Linked DNA regions of Oryctolagus cuniculus. The protein of the gene in region 1 interacts with the protein of each later gene in a biochemical or structural test. Links are inferred from orthologs where the notes say so. Each region holds a gene or a part of one and is shown in the gene's direction. Other genes may lie near its edges.

Region 1 (3,647 bases):
GGAGGTGAGAGAGAGGGAGGGAGGGAGGGAGGCTGGACAGGGCCAGGGAGGGGGGAGGGAGGGAGGCTGGATGGGGCCAGGGAGGTGAGAGAGAGAGAGGGAGGAGAGGCTGGAAGAGGCCCTGTGAACATGTGCTGGAAACCCCTCAGCAGATTCAGCCATGGAGTTCAGGCTGCTTTGTTCGAATGAGGACAGGGATGCCTGGAAGGACTGGAGTGGGTCAGGAATTGTAGAGAGCGCGTTGGTTTTCTGATGAGTTTTGTGAGGGGTGCAGAGGTGGTGGCTGCAGGGCGGGATGTGGGACTGAACGGCTGGTAGCGTGCGAAGAGCACCGTGCGCACTGAGGTGCCGTGCCGCTCCTGGTTTTTTTTGTTAATTTTTAAGTTTTATTCATTTGAAAGAGTTAAAGAGAAAGAGGGGAGACAGAGATCTTCAGTCTGCGGGTTCACTCCCCAAACAGCCACAACAGCCGGAGCCGGGCCAGGCTGAAGCTTGGGGCCAGGAGCTTCGTCCAGGGCTCCCACAAGGGTGCAGGCCCAAGCACTGGGGCCGTCTTCTGCTGCCTTCCCAGTGCGTTAGCAGGGAGCTGGATTGGAAGTCGAGCAGCCAGGACTCAAATTGGTGCCCAAATGGAATGTTAGCTCTGCAGGCTGTGGCTTAACCCACTACACTACAATGCTGGCCCTTAATGTCTTGTCGTAATTTGTTTTTTTAATTGGGAAGGCAGAAAGAGATAGATGGAGAGAGATCTTCTGTCTACTGGTTCACTCCCAAAATATCTTGAAAAGCCAGGGCTGGGCAGGCTGAAGCTGGGAGTCTGCAACTGTGTCTGGGTCTCCAAGCACTGAGCCGTCACCTGCTGCTTCGCAGGGTCTTTGCTCGTTAGCAGGAAGCAGAGTTGGGACCAGAGTAGCCAGTGCGTCAGTCAGGCTCCCCGGGCGGGCTGCAGGGTCTGAGGCAGTGGCTTCACTGTCCTCACGACGAGCGGAGTGGCCCCTGTCAGCAGGGCGAGACGTGTGCACCCGCTCCTTGAGTTCACAGCTGCGTGAGGCCAGAGGAGGAGGACTGGAGATGTGAGGGGTTAGAGGAGGTGTGGAAGGGGCTGTGGGGGCTGGGTTGCTGTGCAGTATCGGTAGCCCTCATGGTTGGCGCTGTCCGCTGAAGGGCACGTCCCCAGCTTGGCTGTTGGAGGCTTGCCAGTGGGCTCCTCTGTTCACGGCTGCCTTCCTGAGGGTGGGACAGGGCTCCTGAGATGTCTCCGGGAGGGCGGGCTGGAGCAGTCCGTGTGGCTGGGGAGAGGGAAGGAGCCGCCGAGAGCCGAGCTGCTTCCTTCTGGCTGGCTCTGTGGGTCTGCGAGCGGTGTCAGCTGCAGGGCTCTGGGCTGAGGGCTGTGCCTTCCCTCGGTGGCAGGCGCTGAGACTGCCATGTAACTGTCGCGTGCCTTTTGTCAGGAGAAGTGAAGCTAGGAGGCCAGTGGGCAGCCTGGCCCCCCTCTCAGACGCGCCCCCCGTGCGGAGTGGACTCAGCTCACTGGAGGGAGCCCCCTCCTTGAAAGACTCTGAGAGTGAGTATCTGTGTCAGGTGCGTTTCTCTACAGTGAAGTAGGATACGATGACTGTGGATTCTTTTCCTAGGAAAATCGTAATATAGCCCATAACTTTATCATTTCGATGTTTCCTGTTAAAATCTCGTGTGTTTTTGTTTTTTCAGAAGCGGTTGCATTCTCTGTATCGTTTTGCCTTTCCTTGTCCCATCAGGAGACTTCAGGCGGGGACTCCCAGTCAGCCTGTGAGCAGAGGGAAGGCCGCGGCTCTGCCGTGTGCTGCGCTGTTAAGTGAGGGTGTTAGCAGCATAGGCCTGTTCAGTGCACTTCTGGCTTCTGATTTTCACCCTGAGATGAGTTCAAGTCAAGGAATAGATATAATAATTTTTAAGTCATTTCTCGCACATTTAGAATTAATTGAGCTGAATTTAAGTTCAGTTATTTCTTGATTCATTTTGTAAAGATTTGATTTATTTGAGAGTTACGGAAAGAGACAGGGAGAGAGACAGGTCTCCCGTCTGCTGGTTCACTCCCCAAAGGGCTACATGGTTGGAGCTGGGCCAGTCCAAAGCCAGAAGCCTGGAGCTTCTTCCAGGTCTCCCTTGTGGGTGCAGGGGCCTGAGGACTTGGGCCATCTTCTACTGCTTTCCCAGGCCACAGCAGAGAGCTGGATTGGAAGTGGAGCAGCCAGGACTTGAACCAGCGTCCATAGGGGATGGAGGCTTATCCTACTATGCCACAGTGCTGCCCCCTGGTTCAGTTATTTATAGAAATTTGTTCTGTGATGCCGCAGTAATCTTTATAGGAAGGTTGAATGAAGCAGTCGTCTGCCCTCAGGGACTGGGATCTCACATGTCTCTTAGGTTTACAGAAGTAGAGATGAGGAGGTAGACATGGAACAGCCAGACTCCTTCACCACGTCCCTTCCCCTCCCTCCTAAGTGTGGTGACAGTGCTGAGTTGAAAACAAACATGTAGGGGCTGGTGCTGTGGCATTGTGGGTAAAGCTACCGCCTGCAGTGCCAGCATCCCATATGGGCACCAGTTTGAGTCCTGGCTGCTCCACTTCCAGTCCTGCTGTGGCCTGGGAAAGCAGTGGAAGATGGCCAAGTCCTTGGGCCCCTGCACCTGCGTGGGAGACTTGGAGGAAGCTCCTGGCTCTGGCTTCACATTGGCGCAGCTCTGGCCATTGCAGCCATCTGGGCAGTGAACCAATGGATGGAAGACCTCTCTGGCTTTCTCTCTCTCTCTAACTCTTCTTTCAAATAAATAAATAAATCTTTAAAGAATGTAGATCTGCAGACCGACCTTGTGTGCTGTGTCACACCAGACAGGATGTGATTGGCAGTGTTTAGAGCATACATGTGCGTCTCTTGCAGGACTTTCCTGAAATAGATTGACTAGTATTTGCAGTGTTTTGCCTGATTGTGCAGTCCTTCCTAAGCTTTTGTCACCGTGGGGCTTGCAGCACACGAGAAGTGGTCTCCGGCTTCTCGTCAGCGTCTGGTAGCCAGAGTGTGCCAGAATGTGGCTCATGGCGCCTTCGCCATGCTCTTGTCTGTGGCTGTTGCCGCCTTCAGGAAAGAGGCCAGGCTGGCACGATGATGTCACTCTGACTGCACGTGACGTGGACAGGGTGTTGAGAACTGAGGACTAAGAGGTGAAAGTGACAAGAGGTCAGCTTGGTAGATGAAGTGCTGGATGAGTGGAAGCAAAGTCCAGAAGTCCCCAGGAAAAACAGCACTGATAAAAATAACCCCAGGCACAGGGCAGACTTCCGAGCTGCTGGTGAGCGCGACGTCTGCGTGGTGTGTGATCAGAAGGGAGGGCGTGCGTCCTGTGAGCGTCCTTAACCCGTCTGCGGTTTTTCCCTGACTCTGGGTTTCCTGCTCTGATGAAGGAGCCTCCTGCTGAAGGGAGGACGGGTGTGTGGGGGAGGCTGCGTTCTGAAAGTCACTTTAATCCTGGTCATTTTTTGTTTGTTTACAGGCAAGAGAGGAAGCGCGGTGCTGAAGGATCTGAAGCTAGTCAACGATAAAATGGGGTCCCTGGGATTAGGTAACCAGACTTCCAGTTTCACTGCTGGCTGCTTGCATGTGATTGTT
Region 2 (2,668 bases), on another chromosome or scaffold:
GTCCCGGGAGCCAGGGTGCAGGGTTGTGGATGTGGCTCCCAGTGGTGGTCTCACCCGGGGCAGTGTGGCCTCCAGGCCAGCCCTTCGCTGCCCTCCATGTCCCCCCAGCACCTCCACTCCGCAAATTGGTCTTGGGGGCTCCCGCTTTTTTCTCTTCCCTCTCCCTGTCAAAATCTTCTCTCTGGAGGTAATCTGGAAACTTTCCACTGGAGTGTGAATAACTAATGATGCTTCCTGGGCTTGGCTCCCGCGTGTGGGCACAGTAACTGGCAGAGGCTCCAGCGCCATTCCTGGCAGTGGGGGAAGGGATTCGCTGTTGGTGGGGGAAAGGGGAATGGGTGTTTTAAACATTGCATCTGCAGATCACCAGCCGCTCAGCCTTCTTCCTCCAGGCGGGGCCGGAGCTGTACACATCTTGGGGGGGGGGGGGCACCTGCATGCTGTGAGATTCCCCACCTTCGACCCTCCCCGCCGGGGACCCTGCCTCCGGGGACATCTTCATGCTTTGGTGCTTAGGTGGCTAAGGAAGATGCAGGACTGACCAGGGGCTTCTTCCTCTTCCTCCTCTCCCCTCCCCCACGCCGTGTCACGTGTCACGAAAAGCACGTCGAGCTACAAAAATTAGGGAAACGCCCCCATCACCGCTTGCAGTGGTCCCCACTAGGCCCCCCGTACTTCCCCAACGTATCCGGCTATCGGTCCCAACTCGGAGCAGGAGGCGGGAGGAGCCGTGGTGGGGGGGTGGGCGGGGGCGGGTTGTGCAAGTCCGGGCGCAGGGTGGGGCTCGGGGCGGGCCGTGGGCCGTGCGGTGGGTCCCGCCCCGCCGGCCTCCCCGACGCCAGCCGCTATAAGGCCGCCCGGCCGCGGCCCAGCCCAGGTCCTGACCGTTCCCTCCGCGCCGCGCAGCCTGCAGTACCGTGAGTCCTCCCTCCCCTGGGCGGCCCCGGGACCTTTTCCCTGCCCTGGCCCGCGGGCGGTAGGCGTTTACGTCCGTACCGGGCGCGTCTGTCTGTGGAGCTCCCGGGCAGGAGCGTCTGGACCACGCCAGCCAGGCCCCGGGCTAAGGCATCCCCTGGCTCCCTGTAGAGTGCTCTCGGGGCGCGGGAGGGTGTGTCCCGGGCGTGTCACTACCGCGGTGTGTGGCCTGGCCGGCTGTGCCAGAGGCCGTGTGTGCTGCCGCCCTCCATCCTAGCCCAGCCACACTCTGCGGCCTCCCCTGGATGCCCTGGAGGTAATTCACAATTCCTCACCTGGGGGCACCTGCTCCCTGGTCCAGGTCGGCCTCTCCTCACCCCCTTCCCCTAATGCTACCCCAAGTGGCCAAGGCTGGGTGTTGGGGCAGGCAGCGTGGGGAGTGCAGAGTCTGCCGCCCTGGCACTGACCAGCCCCTCTGCTGCCAGTCCCAGCCCAGCTGAAACCATGGCAAGCCCCCTGGACCAGGCCATTGGCCTCCTGATCGGCATCTTCCACAAGTACTCTGGCAAGGAGGGTGACAAGCACACCCTGAGCAAGAAGGAACTGAAGGAACTAATCCAAAAGGAGCTCACCATCGGCTCGGTGAGTAGCTGTCCCCAGGCCCCGCCCATTGGCACCTGGTAGGAACAGGGTTCCGAAGGTGTGTCAGGTGCACCTGACTCCCACATAACCACATCCCAGGGTCCTGGTCCATATGCTTCACTGAGCCTTGGTCCCACTCTCCTGCGGGGGCGGGGCAGGGGGTGCTCTCAGCCTGGTATTCACGCCACTGAGTGAGGAGCCTAGGAGTCGGGTGGATGCTGTCCCTGGTGATAAGTGGGCAGGGAACCCTTGAGGGCCGCCCGGGAAGGTAGCGAGTGGGGGTCCTCTTCACCACTGAGCGGCGTGTCCCCTCTGCCTCCTTAGAAGCTGCAGGATGCTGAGATTGTCAAGCTGATGGACGACCTGGACCGCAATAAGGACCAGGAGGTGAACTTCCAGGAATACATCACCTTCCTGGGGGCCTTGGCCATGATCTACAATGAAGCTCTCAAGGGCTGAAGACAGACTGGGGAAGGTGGAGGCACCCCTCAGGGGCCTGTCTGGGTCACACCCAGTGTGGGTGATTGTAAGATAAATATATTTTTTTTTTGTTAACCTACCCTGTGTCCTGGCTTCCCAGTGATTTCTGACCCCTCCTGGGCCTGGTGATGCACCAGCTGGCAGAAGCCCTTGTGCACGGTCAGCCTCTGAGAGTGACTCCTGCACCCGCCAGGCCCGAGGAGCCCCCCACCCCCACCCAAGGCTGCTGCTCGCTCCTAGGGGGCCTTTGGGCAAAGCCATCTTCAGGAAAGGCTCTGGGATGAGCTTGGAGGAGAGGGAGCCAGGGCTGGGCTGGGCTGTGATGGCTGAGGTCCTCCCAAGTGGGACAGAGAGCCTCTCGGGCTCCCGGAAGTGCTCCCGGTACCAGGAGAGAGGAGGGGCTGGCCGGGCCCTGGGTGGGGCCCATTCACTTTCTCTCCACCGAGAGCCTCGGCTGTCCGAGCCAGGCTTGACCTTTCCACGATCATGGAGGCCACAGTGTGACTGGGGTGACTGTGGCTGCCCGTGTCCCGGGTGCGGAGAGCTCTTAGTTGGGGGTGGTGGTCGGAGGAGCTGGCAGCACCATGGAAACGTGGATCAGAGGGTGCGCCCAAACGGGGCGGGGCGAAAA

Evidence for each region.
Region 2: the proteins of CEP43 (region 1) and S100A6 form a complex in vitro, tested with the Homo sapiens proteins (2 studies listed by BioGRID and IntAct, with this or other methods). The link is inferred for Oryctolagus cuniculus from reciprocal best matches to the Homo sapiens genes CEP43 and S100A6.

What each region holds. Positions count from the first base shown.
Region 1 is NC_091436.1:2,051,175-2,054,821, reverse strand, and holds part of CEP43 (centrosomal protein 43), read left to right. Parts: intron 1-1,451; coding exon 1,452-1,564; intron 1,565-3,531; coding exon 3,532-3,600; intron 3,601-3,647. UniProt on the Homo sapiens protein: Required for anchoring microtubules to the centrosomes. Required for ciliation.
Region 2 is NC_091438.1:44,763,616-44,766,283, forward strand, and holds S100A6 (protein S100-A6), read left to right. Parts: upstream 1-1,400; 5' UTR 1,401-1,419; coding exon 1,420-1,557; intron 1,558-1,881; coding exon 1,882-2,016; 3' UTR 2,017-2,116; downstream 2,117-2,668. UniProt on the Homo sapiens protein: May function as calcium sensor and modulator, contributing to cellular calcium signaling.